3 linked regions of the Arabidopsis thaliana genome follow. The protein of the gene in region 1 interacts with the protein of each later gene in a pairwise test. Each region holds a gene or a part of one and is shown in the gene's direction. Other genes may lie near its edges. The genes, in order: AT2G20780, TMT2 and CAT9.

Region 1 (5,066 bases):
AAAGCAGGGTCAAGATTACTGGATAGAGATTTACTTAGAAACTTTATTGCTACTGCTATGCCGTTTGGTTAGTATTTTCCCTCTTTCATATATGGTATATTCTGTTACCTGGTAGACTTTGTTTCCTGATTGATGTGCTATCAAACCCTGAAATCTTTTGATCACTTCTGCAGGTACCCCATTAGACCTCAGCTTGTCTAATATATCTGCTATGAAAGCGAATGGTTTTTCCTCTGCTGATCCTCCTCCCCAAGAACTTAAGCAACCAGCATGGAAGCCATACCTGTACAAAGGAAAGCAAAGGCTATTGTTCACAATTCATGAGACCGTTAGCGCTGCAATGTACGACCGCGATGAGATTCCTGATAATGTATCTGTTGCGGGACAGATAAACTGTCGGGCAGAACTAGAAGGGCTGCCTGATGTGTCGTTTCCTCTAGCAGGGCTGAGTACAGCCCATATCGAAGCTATATCTTTCCATCCATGTGCCCAAGTTCCAGCACATGGGATTGACAAGCAGAACATTGTTTTCCAGCCTCCCTTGGGTAACTTTGTTCTCATGCGATACCAGGCAGGTTGTGGACTCGGACCACCAGTGAAAGGGTTCTATCAGCTATCAATGGTTTCAGAAGACGAGGGTGCATTCCTCTTCAAGGTGCACCTCATGGAAGGTTACAAGGCTCCTCTGTCAATGGAATTTTGCACTATTACTATGCCCTTTCCACGGAGACGGATAGTGGCATTTGATGGGACTCCGTCAGCTGGGACTGTTTTAACCACAGAACACTCTGTTGAGTGGAGGATTCTGGGCAGCGGACGTAGTCTTTCTGGGAAAAGCCTTGAGGCAACTTTCCCTGGGACAATCAAGTTTAGTCCATTGCAGAGCAGAAGAAAAGGGGATGGGGATGATGAAGAGAGTGAGGATGAGAGCGCTGAGAATGTGGTGAACGTGGAGGACTTCTTGGTGCAGAAAATGAACAAGGATCTCCCAGCAGCTGAGTTGGAGGAACCGTTCTGCTGGCAAGCCTATGACTATGCCAAGGTATGTATGTCTTTGGCTTCCTTTTGAAATCTTTTGGACTTGGTTGTTGTTCAAATCTATCTTCTGGTTTACAGGTCTCGTTCAAGATTGTCGGGGCATCTGTATCTCGAATGTCAATCGACACAAAATCAGTAAGCTTTCGCAACTTGCAATGATTAGTTAACAGTGTTAGCCCATATTATCGACTTATTATGGCCTCCTTTTGTTTTACTAGGTCAATATCTACCCAACCACAAAGTCACCGGTTGAGTTTTCTGCTCAGGTAAGACACTGCCAACAATATATAGTGTATAAATATTGAAGTGCACAGGAAACGTTTGAACCGGATTGGATAAAACTCTAAAGGCGCTCTACATGATATGTGCGTAAACAGGTGACTTCAGGGGATTATATATTGTGGAACACATTGGGGAAAGCTCCATCAGCAGCCGTCGTGTGATTTCCCCAAGTCGCAGCCTCACTGGTATTGTATTTTCCCATCCCAAGGAAGTGATTTATTTGTTTGAGTTTGAAAGCATTAAACGTATGAATGAGCAGTTTGATTTTTACAGCGGAAGTGTATCTGTACATTATTGTTGTTTCTTGAGAGATAAAGAAAGATGAATGTTGTTTTAGTTGCAAATCTGTCTGGAATGGAACATGTGATAATAAAACTCGTAAGGTGGTTGTGTTCATGAAGTTGCCACTGTTTCATAATTAGTCTACAAGCCTAAGAAAGAAATTGCTCTATATAGAGAATGCTATCTAGATATAGTATATATCCAGCTCATAAAGGAGATTATAATCCAAGGTTTGCAGCAATATGAGGTCTGTATTTTATGAAATTACAAAATTAGAAGAAAAATATCAATCAATTTAAAGATTGTTGTTGCCACGTCAATGACACTGTCTCTGTAGTTCCAATGAGCTTGGAATAACCACCGACAGATCTCATTCATAGGGAGCAAGCTGCCATTGGAGGTTAATTCCATTTTTTTCATAATAAAGGTTAACTGTCCAAACTCGAAACCCTGATTTATTTAGTTTTCAATAAATGTTTTCATGCCTTTTAAGAGTGTGTGCTAAGCTAACAGATGAGCTGTTATTACCTTGAAAACTCTAATCTATCTTAATTTAATAAGTTCTTAAATATCTTTCCAACTTTTTTTACGCTTTAAGAAAAGAAAAAAAATCCTATTTCTTGAAACGTAATGTTAATGGAAGGAGTCAAGTTGTCTTTTGAAAATTGGATTACCTCATTAGAAAATTCCACCAATTTGGTCAAATAGAGACGATGAGATTTCTAAGAAGTCTCTCCGGTTCAGATCTGGTCATCTAAAGCCCTTCTTCCGAGATCTACGACTTTCTTCCTCAAGTCGTTGTCTGAATTCTCTTTTTTTCCGAAAACAGACACCACCTGAGTCTGCTGTCTGAAGCCTCGGCGGAGGGAGATGATGAAGAATCTTCCGGAGGTTGGTAATGGCGGTGGCTCGGGTTTTCCGGCGGTCTCTGTCGGAAATAAGAAGAATAAGTATCAGAGAATGGACTCCGACGCGGAGGAATCGCAGAATCATCGTGAAGCAGAGGCTAGAAACAGTAGAACCAGAAAATACGTTATGGCTTGTGCCTTTTTTGCATCCTTGAACAATGTTCTTCTCGGCTACGGTCGGTTTTACTTATATAATCGGATTCTTCTTCTTCTTCTTTACTTTGTTGACTTACAAAAAGGTATGTGTGCTCTGTTTTTGGTATTTGTCAGATGTTGGGGTAATGAGCGGTGCGGTGTTGTTCATACAGCAGGATCTCAAAATAACGGAGGTGCAGACGGAAGTGCTCATTGGTAGCCTTAGCATCATCTCACTCTTTGGCAGCTTAGCCGGCGGCAGAACCTCTGACTCTATCGGTAGAAAATGGACCATGGCCTTGGCTGCTCTCGTCTTCCAGACTGGTGCTGCCGTGATGGCTGTCGCTCCGTCTTTCGAGGTTTTGATGATAGGGAGAACTTTAGCCGGCATTGGGATTGGGCTTGGTGTCATGATCGCTCCTGTCTACATCGCCGAGATATCCCCCACCGTAGCTAGAGGATTTTTCACTTCGTTCCCTGAGATCTTCATAAATCTAGGGATCTTGCTGGGCTATGTTTCGAACTACGCTTTCTCGGGGCTTTCCGTGCATATCAGCTGGAGGATCATGCTTGCAGTTGGGATTCTTCCTTCGGTGTTCATAGGATTTGCGCTGTGTGTGATCCCTGAGTCGCCGAGGTGGCTGGTGATGAAAGGCCGAGTGGACAGTGCACGAGAGGTGCTCATGAAAACGAATGAGCGAGATGACGAAGCGGAAGAGCGGCTTGCAGAGATACAACTGGCGGCTGCACATACAGAAGGCAGCGAGGACAGGCCCGTGTGGCGTGAGCTTCTTAGCCCATCTCCTGTTGTACGGAAAATGCTGATTGTTGGATTTGGAATCCAGTGTTTCCAGCAGATCACAGGAATTGACGCCACAGTCTACTATAGTCCAGAGATCCTGAAAGAGGCTGGGATACAAGACGAGACCAAACTGCTCGCTGCAACTGTCGCTGTTGGTGTCACGAAAACAGTGTTCATACTATTTGCCACCTTCCTGATTGATAGTGTTGGCCGGAAACCGCTGCTTTATGTGAGCACAATAGGAATGACTCTGTGTCTCTTTTGTCTAAGCTTTACGCTCACATTCCTCGGCCAAGGAACGCTTGGGATAACCTTGGCGCTTCTCTTTGTTTGTGGAAACGTTGCCTTCTTCTCCATAGGAATGGGACCTGTTTGCTGGGTCTTGACATCAGAGATCTTTCCATTACGATTAAGAGCCCAGGCATCTGCGCTTGGGGCGGTTGGGAACAGGGTGTGCAGCGGTCTGGTGGCCATGTCCTTCCTCTCTGTGTCACGTGCCATCACTGTTGGAGGAACCTTCTTCGTTTTCTCCCTCGTGTCTGCACTCTCAGTTATCTTCGTGTATGTGCTAGTCCCCGAGACAAGCGGGAAGTCACTGGAGCAGATAGAGTTGATGTTTCAGGGTGGGCTGGAAAGAAAAGACGGTGAAGTTGAGCTTGGAGATGCTGAGCGTCTTGTGCGCAAGGAACAGGAGTTTTGAATTGATCATGTTAAAGTAGAAGAGGCAGAAGTGAAAAGATACTCTTATGGTGTTCTGTTCTTGCATTAGATCCAAAGAACGTAAGATAGATTTTGTAAGTGCGTTTGATGATGGTATAGACCCAGTGCATATTCCAAAGAAACCAACTGCTCTGTTTTTTTGTTCCTTGTTTCAAGAAGAAACCATGTGATACTCAACTCAAAAGACAATATATACAGAAATGACAGAACCTTTGTGTTCACTTCATGTTTCACACTCTCCTTCTAACACTCATAAAGTTACAGGCTCTCCGGACAGTTCGGCTATATATCAACTCAAACTTATTCACCATCAAACAACAAGAAGATTTTGCTAGTACTAAACACACATACACTCACACCCTCTCTTACCTTGTGCATCCTCCATAACAAGAGAGAAGGATTTGATGGACGGAGATTGTTATCGATCAAGAAGTTTAAAGCTCGTAACCTGGGAACCTGGCTTCAGATGGGTCGACCATGTCAAGGAAGAGATAGGCCATGCCTGCAACGCCTTCAAACAAGGAATAAGGACTATCACCTCCATGCATTTCTCCTTTTGAGAGTAACTTGGGGCCTCTATCAAGCAGGAAACTGGCAAAGGCTTTTGCACGGTATAGATACTCACTCCTTCCCGTAGCTCTGTAAAGCGCAAGAAAAACATATGCGTTCCCACTTATTCCATGACAGATCCCCACGCGCTTGAGCAATCCACGGTTCCAAACCACCTCTGCTGCAGCTGCACTCGCTTCCAGAAACTCTCTCTCCCCAAAAACCTGAGTTTTGTTTTCATTTCCCAGAGATCAACTCTCTCTCAATAATGTATTGAAAGCAAATAAAACAACACACACACAAAGATTTCGACTAAAAAGGCACCATCACCTCAGCCGCCTTCCCAAGTG
Region 2 (6,996 bases), on another chromosome or scaffold:
AATTAGAATGTTGGTTTGTACAAAATCAAAATGCATTTCTGGTTTTACTAGTTACCGTTAATTGTAAAAAAATTTAAGTATTAAGCACGATGGTTTTATTCTCGTCGTATGAGAAGACTAATTTAAATACATGTGATCTACTTGTAAAAGAAGCAACCGTTCATTCAATCTCCTATCAGAAAGAATAGTAATCTCTTGAGATTTTTTCTTAAGATAAAGATATGCCAAATATTTAAACAGTATTATGGCGTCACTGACTATTATGACGTAAGAGATTGACTTTTCCATATATTGCAACTTTCTGGAGCCCCGCACATAATCCCTAATAAGTTTTACTTTTGGGCCTTGTTTATTCACTGATCCAGCCCAATGTTCAAATACAAAATTCAGACACCCCAAAGGCCGTATTATTGTATTGTTTTAGACTTTAGACCTTACAATAAGGCCTAAAATGATAACATATTACACATTTCAATTCCAGATAAAAAAAAGAACCGAAAATTTTAATTATAAACGCTATCAAATTGACATTTTCACAAGACTGAATCAAATTTGACACCTCCACGTACACAAGCAAAATTATATTTTGGGTTTTGTATCAATGTGCTGGCTGATTTTTTTTAGCAAAACTGTCCTGTAACATCTCTCCAACTTGGTTTGAATTCGTTTTAACATTAGTTTGGTGACAAACATAACGTTATTGAATTTTTCATTTTTCCGTAATAATCATTCTGATTTTTTTCTTTTCAAAATGTTGTTACTAGATGTTTCTTTCCCAAGAATAATATCTTAAATCAGTAATCACTACTACCAGTAAACATAAATGGTACGTTTCTCCTCATTCTACGGAATTTTTAAGAAGCAATGATGATGATTAATTGAGGATGTGGACAAGAATCTTTATATATTCGCATTCACATGCCATAACTTTCAAAGTCTATGAAAAAAGATTCTATTGCGTGTTTATATTCTGTGGTGTGTACTGTAGTTCCAAACATAACGCTTGTACTACGTTCATTTCCGGAAAATATCTAAGAAATATGGAGTCATAAATATTTATTAACCAATTAGATGTTTTTCCTATGTTCTAAATACATTTATGGTAATCTTTGCGGTCAAATATACGAACTTTAACAACGACGTTTAACAATATATCTTTTGTTTTATACATATCAAGTTTTGATATACGGACGATAGATATTTATTTTCAGAAAACCAGTAGTTGTCGTAGTCACATGGTTTGTTTTTCGTTGATCAAAATTTGTTAATGTTATTCATTTAGAATTAGAGACTGTATATCGAATTTGGTACTCGGTTCTAAAAAAAAAAAAAACTCAATATGATTTTTTATACATTCTTTTTCTTCCCTTTTAATCTGTAAGAAGAATAGTAAAGTGAAGAAGAAAAAACTATTCATTATATTGTAACATACGAATACGACTCACAATTAACTAAAGTTAAAGTGTCTCATTGTATTTGGACTTTGGACATTATTCTCCATTATTGCATTGTTTCTTTCTTTCTTGATTAATTATGTAAAGTTGAAATGATTTGAAGATGCTTTCCGGATGTAAACAAACTAAACTTTACTTTACCAATAACTTTGTTTTCAGAAAACTCAGATATTTATCTCTAGTTTCTCGTATAAGTCCCAATGAATCTAAGATTTCAAAAACCAATCCTATATTTGTTTCATATTTACAAAAAAACACCAAATATTTTTCCCCAATTATGCCGACATTAAACTCATCTTTTTACATACAAAATCCCAAATTAATATCCGTTTTTACCTTTACTTCATGAAAGCGAAGATGGTAAAAAGCAGAAACATTTCGAGATATTAATTTGATTGTATAGGCCCGTGAATAAACTCGTGGACCCAAATCGAAAAGATAACAAAATTTAAAGATGTACTTAATTCTCTGAAAAAATTCTGTACGCAAACACGAGAAAGAGAAGAGAGACATACACACACAATACACATACGTGGTTTGAGAGGACAGGAGCAAAACGGCAGGTGTCACTAATCCCATAGGCTTCTCTCTCTGTTCACTGTCCTTCCGCACAAAAAAAAAAAGTATTCATTTTTATATTCTCACGGTTACTTCGAAATCTAGCTTTCGTTTTCTTTTTTTTTGATTTAAACCAAAAGGGTAAACAATGCTTTATGATTGCTTAGTGACGCCATTGAAGCAGCGGCTCACTGATAGTGGCTTCTTCTGCCTCCAATTCCAAGTTGCTAACCCTAGTTTTCATCTCTCTCTCTGTATATCATATTCTCTCGTACTTTCTTACTTTCTCTTCTACTTGGTAGAGATAAAAAGTAGTCAAATTTTATTCAAAGTTTTGATTTTGACATCTGAGGTTTCACCTCTGTTTTTTTTTTCTAGAACTCCTTTGGGTATGTGTCTTTTACGTCACTAAAGGGTTTGTTATAGTCTTAGGTCATGCTTTTTGGTGTTATCTCTCTCTGTTTTATCTTTTAGCTCACCAAGTGATTGTGTCTGATTTTCGAATTTTCAGGTGGATTTTGTTTCACTCACTCATCGTCGTTGATCAGTGACTCTGTTTTTGCGAAATTCTCTTCAGATTTCTTGATAAAAGATAGAAGACGGAATTATGAGTGGAGCTGTGCTTGTTGCTATTGCTGCTGCTGTTGGCAACTTGTTACAAGGATGGGATAACGCAACTATTGCAGGTGATTGATTATCTTCTGTATCCATAATTCTGTTTATGAAATTTAGGATCGATAAAGTCAGGATTTTTATGGATACAATTCACAGATCTTTTAGCTTATCTCTTTTGCTTGTGTGATGGATTTTAAGTTTTCTTTGGGTACTCTGCAGGAGCTGTGTTGTACATAAAAAAGGAGTTTAATTTGGAGAGTAATCCATCAGTGGAAGGTCTAATTGTGGCGATGTCACTTATTGGTGCTACTCTGATTACAACATGCTCTGGAGGGGTAGCTGATTGGCTTGGTCGCCGTCCCATGCTAATATTGTCCTCAATTCTCTACTTTGTTGGTTCTCTAGTAATGCTATGGTCTCCGAATGTTTATGTGTTGCTCTTAGGAAGGTTGTTAGATGGATTTGGGGTTGGTCTTGTGGTCACACTTGTTCCTATTTATATATCTGAGACTGCACCACCTGAGATTAGGGGACTGTTGAATACGCTACCGCAGTTCACTGGCTCTGGAGGGATGTTCTTATCTTACTGTATGGTTTTCGGAATGTCGTTGATGCCATCACCTAGCTGGAGATTGATGCTTGGTGTCCTTTTCATCCCTTCCCTTGTCTTTTTCTTCCTCACGGTCTTCTTCTTGCCCGAGTCCCCAAGGTGGCTCGTGAGCAAAGGTCGAATGCTTGAAGCAAAGCGGGTTCTTCAGAGACTGCGTGGTCGCGAAGATGTGTCTGGTTAGTCTTAAATCGTTCTGACTCTAATTCTTTCAATGAAACCAATCTTTTCTATTGAATGTTCTTATGTGGCAATGTATAGGTGAGATGGCTTTGTTGGTTGAGGGTCTTGGAATTGGAGGTGAAACAACCATAGAGGAATATATAATTGGTCCCGCGGATGAAGTTACTGATGATCATGATATAGCTGTGGATAAGGATCAAATTAAGTTATATGGTGCAGAAGAAGGGCTGAGTTGGGTTGCTAGGCCAGTCAAAGGAGGAAGCACTATGAGTGTTTTGTCTCGCCATGGAAGTACAATGAGCAGGAGGCAAGGCTCATTGATTGATCCTCTTGTCACACTGTTTGGGAGCGTTCACGAGAAGATGCCGGACACTGGAAGCATGAGGAGTGCCTTGTTCCCACATTTTGGGAGTATGTTCAGTGTTGGAGGGAATCAACCAAGACATGAAGATTGGGATGAAGAGAATCTTGTTGGAGAAGGTGAGGATTATCCATCCGACCATGGAGATGATTCTGAAGATGATCTTCATTCTCCGTTGATCTCACGTCAAACGACAAGCATGGAGAAAGACATGCCTCACACTGCTCATGGAACTCTTTCTACCTTCAGACATGGAAGTCAAGTGCAGGGAGCTCAAGGGGAAGGAGCGGGTAGTATGGGGATTGGAGGTGGATGGCAAGTGGCATGGAAATGGACGGAAAGAGAAGATGAATCGGGACAGAAAGAAGGTGGGTTTAAACGGATATACTTGCATCAAGAAGGTTTCCCAGGATCTCGACGTGGCTCAATTGTTTCATTGCCTGGTGGTGATGGAACCGGTGAGGCAGATTTTGTACAAGCGTCTGCTTTGGTTAGCCAACCAGCTCTTTATTCCAAAGACCTTCTCAAAGAACATACAATTGGTCCTGCTATGGTACATCCATCCGAAACAACTAAAGGGTCAATTTGGCATGATCTTCATGATCCTGGAGTCAAGCGTGCATTAGTCGTAGGAGTTGGACTTCAAATACTTCAGCAGGTAGTCTAGATAGCCACATCAAAATTAGTGAATCACAGAAGAAATAATGCGGTTTATGCTAATTCTATGTTTTCCTGCTTCCTCTTGGAAATGCAGTTCTCAGGCATCAACGGAGTTCTTTACTACACACCGCAAATCCTTGAGCAGGCGGGTGTCGGGATCCTACTATCGAACATGGGGATTAGTTCTTCCTCAGCATCCTTACTTATAAGTGCATTGACAACCTTTGTGATGTTACCTGCAATAGCTGTTGCAATGAGGCTCATGGATCTTTCTGGTCGAAGGTGATTAAAACTTAAATTTCCTTTGTTCTTACAATACACATAAACGAAACAAGCTAAAATGCGTTATGAAATGTCTTTTATTTTATATTTGCAGGACCTTGCTTCTCACCACGATACCAATCCTGATAGCATCTCTATTGGTTTTAGTAATCTCAAATCTTGTTCACATGAACAGCATTGTGCACGCGGTCTTATCAACCGTAAGCGTTGTGCTCTACTTCTGCTTCTTCGTGATGGGTTTCGGTCCTGCTCCAAACATCCTCTGTTCAGAGATTTTTCCAACTCGAGTCCGCGGAATCTGCATCGCCATCTGCGCACTCACCTTCTGGATCTGTGACATAATCGTCACTTACAGTCTCCCCGTGCTGCTCAAATCCATTGGACTAGCTGGTGTGTTTGGAATGTACGCAATCGTATGTTGCATTTCATGGGTCTTTGTGTTCATTAAAGTCCCGGAAACTAAAGGCATGCCACTTGAAGTCATCACAGAGTTCTTTTCTGTTGGAGCTAGACAAGCTGAAGCTGCTAAAAACGAGTGAGAAACTGAAAGACTTGTTGAGATAAAAAGTTTGTGTAATATTCATGTGGATTTGTTGTTGTCTTTTTACTTTGTGCAGTAATAATCATCTCTCTCTGTTTCGTCTTCTTCATGTGGGGAGAAAAAAAAGTTTCAAACTTTCAGTTACGAATCTCTTTATTACCATTTACCATTTGCAGAATCCATAGAACAAATCCGTAAACTTTCAATTACATACTTTCGATAAGTCTAGCTCCGACTTTATCAAGTTTCTTCACAGAAGCAGTAGATTTCAAGTTTCCGATCTTCAAGAACACTTGGACCATTTTCTCTCCGATCTCGTAACCTTTCTCCGCCGTGTCAATCACTGCAACCGCAGTTATGGTGCGACCAAATGCTCCAGCTTCTTTCCCATTCAAAGCAGAAAGTGATTTATTCACCTATAATTCTTGAGCAATTCAGCGTCTTTCCTCGCTTCTTCTCCTTTCATTGCTCAAACTCTAAACCTTGTAGCCTCGAGCTCTGTGATTTGTAGCCTCGAGCTCTGTTTCTGCAATCACACAAGCTGCTCTATGGTTTGGCTACAATCAGTCGCTACACGTTTCAAAGCTAATGCCAAATATATCATCCATTGTTTTCTTGCGAATCTTGGCTAATGAGGGCACGTGCGAGACTCTCATTGCTCTAAGCTTTTTAAGTGGAAAAAGGAAACAATCCAAAATTTGTTTTAGAAAAGGAAATAACAAAGAAAAAGGAAACAACAAAGAGCCGTTAAGAAAAAAGGAAACTTTGAATCCCAAACACAAACGATGTGTCTATAAATTGAGGAACCCTTCTCAGAGATAGAAAATTCTTAAGTGAGAGAGAGAGAGATGAAATTACATACGCAATTGCTCTGATTTTCACCATTCTCTTCTTCGATTCCTGTTTCCTTCGCTTCTAATTCAACTCTGATTCTTCTTCTTCCTCCTTTGTCTCTCGTTAATGGCGTTACGATATCTTCTCTCAGTCTCCGTCGTCGGAAGTTTTCTACTTTTGTTTGAATTCAAAGGATTCCGGATTTTGTTTACCCTGTCTTCAATGCAATGGTTCATCGGAAGATTTTGCGTTTTCTGGTTCATGATTCATCGGATGATCGGAGGCTTTTGGGTTTATCCGGTTCATGATTCATCGGATGATCGGCGACTTTTGGGTTTCTCCGGTTCATGATTCATCGGATGATCGGAGGCTTTTGGTTTATCAGTCACGGACACGCACACGGGGAAGACGGACATGGCGGTGGACGAAAGAGGCTTGGACTGCAAATCTCATTTTCAGCCCATATAATACTCAGAAGCCCATCAACAAATTGAGGTTCATTTCCTATCCCTTCTTATTTACTTTTTTTTTTTCCTCCCAAAAATCGATTTTCTCACGGATTTTTAATTTGCATAACGATGATATGAAAACTAACTGGATTTTGGATACAGTCTTGATCGTTAGCGATTCCAAATATTCAACTTGTTTTCATATCATTTTTATGTAGATATATTATCCAAGTTTTTTATTCGGATTTTTAAAAGTTTTAAACGTTTTTTTGTTTTGTTTTGTTTTGATACTAAATTTACATAAAGATATATGAAACTAACCGGATTTTGGATCCAGCCTCGGTCGTTAGCGATTCCAAATATTCAACTTGTTTTCATTTTTTTTATGTAGATTTTAGTATCCAAGTTTTTAAGTCAATTTTTCCGGTTTTTTTTTTTAATTATAAATTTAC
Region 3 (5,729 bases), on another chromosome or scaffold:
TAAGTTTATTGTGCTTTTTCAGGCGAGGAGATACCGAATTTGTGATAGAGAAAGAACCAGAAGCTGTATGTGATGATATCGAAAGCAACAAAGTAGATGCAACCAAGGAGTCGGAAGTTTCCGACATTTTTGAAAGACGAGAAAAAGCTGCTTTAAAAAGGAGATATGAAATTAAAGTATGCTCTCATAATGATACTTGTATTGTATGGTTGTGTTAAGGAAAATGGTATTACAAATTAACTTAAGAATTTAAATTGCAGGCCAAAAAAGTTGCCGCTCTACTGAGCCATCCTGGAGCTAGAGGAAAAGCTACGACGAGGTTGCAAAATCGGTACTTAAAAGGAAGTATGAGTGGTGCGAAGGAACCTAATGTTCACTCGGAGACAGTAGTTGCGTTGAAGGCTAAGAATGTAGGTAATGAAATGAGCCCTTGTAAGGATAACTATTCGAATGGAGAGAAAGGTGGTTTCGAGGTGAAATCTGAAATCTACACTAACAATTATATATTCTCAATTCAATCTTCAAGTATCCTTTATCACCCTTTTGTAAATGCAGGTTGCGTCTGACCCAAAGGAACTTAAAGAAAGAGGTCTCCAGAGGAAGAAAGCTGTTCCTGACAGACTTAATAGCATTCATAAGCTTAATTCAACTCCTGCTTCTGCTCATAACTCTAATCCAAATCTTGAGGAGCTACAGACGTCTCTTCTTTCTAAAGCAACATCACTATCCGAAACTGCATTGAAAGTTCTTCTTTGCAAACGAGATAAACTGGTAATAACTGTAGAATTTGATCAAAGATACACAACACAGCAAAAAAACTGATTGGCAATAGCATATATATCCTTATTTTATGATTAAGAGCTGCTCTCTTTTTCTCTGGCTGCAGACTCGTCAACAGAGGAACATAGAAGACGAGATTGCTAAATGTGATAAATGCATCCAGAACATCAAAGGTATGTATATATACATATACTTTTCCTTTCTGCACAGCTTTGTTTTTACATGAATCTTAGTGATCTCGTGGGTGTTATAGGTGATTGGGAGCTGCAATTAGAAACAGTACTCGAGTGCTGTAACGAGACATACCCGAGGCGTAACCTTCAAGAATCTCTTGACAAGTCAGCATGCCAAAGCAACAAGAGGCTGAAGCTCAGTGAAACTCTTCCTTCTACTAAAAGTCTGTGTCAGGTTAGTTTATGGTTACTTTAATCATTTCTTGTTCAAAGAATTAAGATTCATTGCCCCTATTTATTGCAGAGACTCGATGATATCTGTCTCATGAATAACTGGGTACTACCAAACTATCGTGTGGCTCCATCAGATGGTAAAGTTTTGAGATCATTTGCCAAACTCGTAGTTCAGCTCCATTACTCCCTTCAGATTTGCATGTTGATGTTGATGCTTTGTTCAAAAAGGTGGATATGAAGCTGAAGTAAGAATCACGGGGAATCATGTCGCATGTACAATACATGGAGAGGAAAAGTCTGATGCTGAGGAAGCTAGGGAATCTGCGGCAGCTTGCTTGCTAACAAAGTTACAACACGACACAGCAGCCAACTTATCATGATTATGTGAGATTCAAGAACAACTCAGAAACCAAACTAACTTCCAGCATGAGTAGAAAACAACCCTGATTTTGATATGTATGGCCATTTTGGACGAATAGCAAGATTTGTACAAAACTCCATCCTCTGGTTGAGATTTTGAGATATATTACAAGAAGTCAAAGGTATTAACTGATGCAGAAACTAAAGTAGAACCAGAATCATGTTAAAAACCTAATCCTAAGCCTCCTGCATTTAAAACAATCCTAGAAACTCAAAAACCCAACAAAGTGCTAAAGAGGGATGAAAGAAATCCTAGTAAAAAAAAACCCTAATATTGTTAACTAGACCAAAAACCTCAACAATGGCCTGAAAGATTAGACCAATATGAATCTCAACAGACACAAGAAACTTGTCAACAACGAAAATAGGAGCTATACTGTCTCATGGCAAAACAGAGGACTCCATCGCACCTAAAGGCCCAAAGACAGATGTCGTCGCGAGCTTTCAGTTCATTAGAGGGTTATTGGGTTTAAGTGGTCTCTGTTGGGCCCAATGGTTGGCCCAATATTTATTGATTTGGATTCTGATTATCCCGGGGGTGATTTCAGTCATCGTCTCGATCAATCTTCAACTCTCAAATTGAAGTTTCCATGGGAGGCCACGAAGGTTTCAGCAACCAACGCCTCTCCTCCGCCACATGGTTCTCTCATTTCCGTGCTTCAGCTCTCCGATCTAAATCACTGCCCCCTCCGTCCTCGCAGACTGCCGTTCGCTCCACCTCTGGCGACTCTCTGGTTCGTCGCCTCGGCCTTTTCGACCTCATACTGTTGGGCGTCGGCGCTTCCATCGGCGCCGGTGTCTTCGTCGTCACCGGAACCGTCGCTCGCGATGCTGGACCTGGTCAGTTGAATGAATTACTTTTTCTCACCACCTCCTTGATTCGTTCAGAATCGCTTAGTGATTATTGCTGCCGTTGCGTGCCTAGGAGTCACAATCAGCTTCTTGCTAGCTGGAGCATCGTGTGTGTTGAACGCTCTCTGTTATGCTGAACTTTCATCTCGTTTCCCTGCTGTTGTTGGTGGAGCTTACATGTACTCTTACTCAGCTTTCAATGAGATCACAGCTTTTCTTGTTTTCGTTCAACTCATGCTTGACTATCATATTGGCGCCGCTAGTATCTCCCGTAGCTTGGCCAGCTATGCTGTTGCTCTTCTTGAGCTTTTTCCAGCCCTCAAGGGCTCTATTCCTCTCTGGATGGGAAGCGGCAAAGAGCTCTTGGGAGGGCTTCTCTCTTTGAATATTTTGGCTCCCATTTTACTTGCTCTCTTGACCCTTGTTCTATGCCAAGGTGTGCGAGAATCTTCCGCTGTCAACTCCGTTATGACTGCTACTAAGGTAAGCTTCTTTCCTTTTAACCTTCTCTTCTTATCTTTACCAAAAAAAACTCTTCTTCACTATATTGTTTCTTCTGTAGGTCGTGATCGTTCTCGTTGTGATTTGTGCCGGTGCTTTTGAAATTGATGTAGCAAATTGGTCTCCTTTTGCGCCTAATGGTTTTAAAGCAGTTCTCACTGGAGCTACTGTTGTCTTCTTTTCATATGTTGGATTTGATGCAGTTGCTAATTCTGCTGAAGAATCGAAGAACCCTCAGGTCTGCCTATATATATGTTGAATGTACATACTATCTACAAAGTCTCTTATGTCTGTTTAATTCTTGTTCAGCGCGATTTGCCAATCGGAATTATGGGGAGCCTTCTGGTTTGTATCTCGCTGTATATTGGCGTATGTTTGGTGCTCACCGGGATGGTCCCTTTTAGCCTCCTCAGCGAAGATGCTCCTTTAGCTGAAGCCTTTTCATCAAAGGGTATGAAGTTCGTCTCAATCTTAATCAGTATTGGTGCTGTTGCTGGACTCACAACTACTCTGCTTGTTGGTCTTTATGTTCAGGTGATAATATATATATATGTATTTCTTTTGTAATTTCTTTTATTATGTACTTGTATATTATGCAAACCAAGGTAACACTCTTGAGTAATCATATGATATTTCGGATAAACAGTCCAGGTTATATCTGGGACTTGGAAGGGATGGTCTATTGCCTTCAATCTTTTCCAGAATACACCCAACTCTTCATACACCTCTTCATTCTCAAATCTGGTGCGGCATTGTAGCTGGCGTTTTAGCTGGCATATTTAATGTACATAGTCTTTCCCATATTCTGTCTGTTGGTACATTGGTACGTCAAGGTCTTAATTTTAAATATCTCTTTGCTTTTCTTATTGATACTTATACTTTCCAGTTTAACATTATTTTCGGTGTTCCATTTCTTCAGACTGGGTATTCAGTTGTTGCGGCTTGTGTTGTGGCATTGAGACTGAATGATAAAAAAGATAGAGAGTCGTCCAATAGATGGACATCAAGTTGGCAGGAAGGCGTCATTTGCCTTGTTATAATTGCATGCAGTGGTTTTGGTGCTGGCGTATTTTACCGTTTCAGTGCTTCAGTTATATTTATTCTCCTCTCAGTTGGTGTGGCAGTTGTTGCTTCAGCAGTTCTTCATTATCGCCAAGTAAGTAGCCTTAAGTATAAGCCTTAATTCCATAGCACACTCTTCTTAATTTCATAGCGCCAAAAAAAATAAAATAAAAAAACCAAGTTTCACCCCTGTTAAAATGCTAGATACTAAGTCTTTTACTGATACAGCATAAAATAGAGACCACCACTAGCATGTTCTGGCACTTAGAACTCTACAGTGATACTATGAAAGTCTGTGACTATTGAAGTCTTTGCATTCTTGGTTTAGAGGAGAAGTTTGTTAACATCAATTAGGAAATATACCCTCATGGTTGTCTCCACAAATCAGGCAAATGCCTTGCTAGCTATGCTTCATGTTAAACCCCTCAGCTTTTCGCTTCCAGGCTTATGCTCTGCCTCTAGGTTCTGGGTTTAGCTGTCCTGGTGTACCCATTGTGCCATCCGTTTGCATTTTCTTCAACATCTTCTTATTTGCTCAGGTACACGCTAAGAACTAACTTTATACTAATTTCACATACCATATGATCTACCTTTGATTTTTCCGCTACTGTGCAGTTGCATTATGAAGCATGGATAAGATTTGTTGTTGTCAGTGTGCTTGCAACTGCCGTTTATGCCTTGTATGGGCAGTACCACGCAGATCCGAGCATGTTGGATTATCAGAGGGCACCTGAAACTGAAAGCGACGCTTAGTAATGCTACATTATAGTTGTGTTACTTAAAGCCATTTGTAGAGTTGATAGCAAGTTTCTGCGTTTCGTGAGAGACATACTGTATGTCACATACATATTCAGGTCGAGTTTAAGGATTGGATGGGATAAGGCAGTTAAACATTATTGTTGTAAAGAAGTTAATAAAAGTATGCTTGTGCATTTCAACTAAAGCCTTGAATGACTGAAAATGGCTTTTGTGCTACCAAATAATCCCAGAAGCTAGCAATGTTCACATAAACATACTCAATGTTAGAGTTATTCAACGGATCATAGTATAGAATCAGAAACAACAAGCTTACTAATAACAGACATCCAAACCCTCTAGCATTGTAGTAAGACCAAAACCCTCTAGAATTGCCCCAACTTAGCCGGCTGTACAAATGAAGATCAATCTCCACAGAGACAAGAAGCTTAGCAGAGACGGCGAGCATTGGAAGAGCTACTCTGTCTCAATGTAAGAGGAGGAACAAGAGCAAAACAGAGGATTCCACGCCACCTGAAAGACCAAAGACTGATGTCTTTCTGATTTACCCCTCTCGGTGACACCACACGCCTCTTGGGGCTCGTGGTCTCCCGTTAGACACAAAGATGGAGTCTTCTTGGACTCGGCAATGTAGTTTTGAAGAAGGTTAAAGAAAAAGGCGATGAAGAAGAAGTGGAAGCCCCATTAAGATTTTGTTGTGAATGAAAACTGAAAAGAGTGACTTTGTTGTTTTATATAGTTCGTTAATCCGTTCTGATTTACTTCGTTTTCCTCTTATAATAACTCTAAAGGTATAATCTTTTCTTTTTCTTTTCTTGAAAGCATTATTTAGAGAGTGTATTGTATTAAGCATGAAACAGAGACTGTGCTAAGCCTCCTGCATTTTAAACAATCCTAGAAACTCAAAAACCCGACAAAGTGTTAAAAGAGAGATGAAAGAAATCCTAGTAA

What was found.
Region 2: the proteins of AT2G20780 (region 1) and TMT2 interact in a protein complementation assay, tested with the Arabidopsis thaliana proteins (one large-scale study listed by BioGRID).
Region 3: the proteins of AT2G20780 (region 1) and CAT9 interact in a protein complementation assay, tested with the Arabidopsis thaliana proteins (one large-scale study listed by BioGRID).

The regions. Positions count from the first base shown.
Region 1 is NC_003071.7:8,946,577-8,951,642, reverse strand, and holds AT2G20780 (Major facilitator superfamily protein), read left to right. Parts: upstream 1-2,213; 5' UTR 2,214-2,472; coding exon 2,473-2,686; coding exon of another isoform or gene 2,687-2,749; intron 2,750-2,780; coding exon 2,781-4,147; 3' UTR 4,148-4,401; downstream 4,402-5,066. Other genes in the region: AT2G20790 (clathrin adaptor complexes medium subunit family protein), read left to right, coding at 1-67, 174-1,042, 1,117-1,173, 1,257-1,304, 1,416-1,481; AT2G20784 (uncharacterized protein), read right to left, coding at 1,867-2,022; GCL2 (GCR2-like 2), read right to left, coding at 4,602-4,940, 5,047-5,066. UniProt on the Arabidopsis thaliana protein: Plasma membrane sugar-proton symporter.
Region 2 is NC_003075.7:16,794,695-16,801,690, reverse strand, and holds TMT2 (tonoplast monosaccharide transporter2), read left to right. Parts: upstream 1-1,879; 5' UTR 1,880-2,619; coding exon 2,620-2,698; intron 2,699-2,846; coding exon 2,847-3,413; intron 3,414-3,495; coding exon 3,496-4,436; intron 4,437-4,532; coding exon 4,533-4,720; intron 4,721-4,814; coding exon 4,815-5,259; 3' UTR 5,260-5,467; coding exon of another isoform or gene 5,468-5,677; 3' UTR 5,678-5,743; coding exon of another isoform or gene 5,744-5,818; 3' UTR 5,819-5,908; downstream 5,909-6,996. Other genes in the region: AT4G35295 (homoserine kinase, putative / HSK), read right to left, coding at 5,468-5,677, 5,744-5,818, 6,308-6,358. UniProt on the Arabidopsis thaliana protein: Sugar proton-coupled antiporter which contributes to vacuolar sugar import (e.g. monosaccharides including glucose, sucrose and fructose), particularly during stress responses (e.g. in response to cold).
Region 3 is NC_003070.9:1,800,411-1,806,139, reverse strand, and holds CAT9 (cationic amino acid transporter 9), read left to right. Parts: upstream 1-2,139; 5' UTR 2,140-2,197; coding exon 2,198-2,447; exon of another isoform or gene 2,448-2,532; coding exon 2,533-2,942; intron 2,943-3,021; coding exon 3,022-3,198; intron 3,199-3,269; coding exon 3,270-3,494; intron 3,495-3,606; coding exon 3,607-3,783; intron 3,784-3,879; coding exon 3,880-4,116; coding exon of another isoform or gene 4,117-4,143; exon of another isoform or gene 4,144-4,465; coding exon 4,466-4,561; coding exon of another isoform or gene 4,562-4,579; exon of another isoform or gene 4,580-4,637; coding exon 4,638-4,775; 3' UTR 4,776-5,030; downstream 5,031-5,729. Other genes in the region: AT1G05950 (uncharacterized protein), read left to right, coding at 23-176, 261-473, 556-771, 887-953, 1,034-1,188, 1,258-1,324, 1,416-1,567; AT1G05930 (B3 domain protein (DUF313)), read right to left, coding at 5,207-5,291. UniProt on the Arabidopsis thaliana protein: Permease involved in the transport of the cationic amino acids.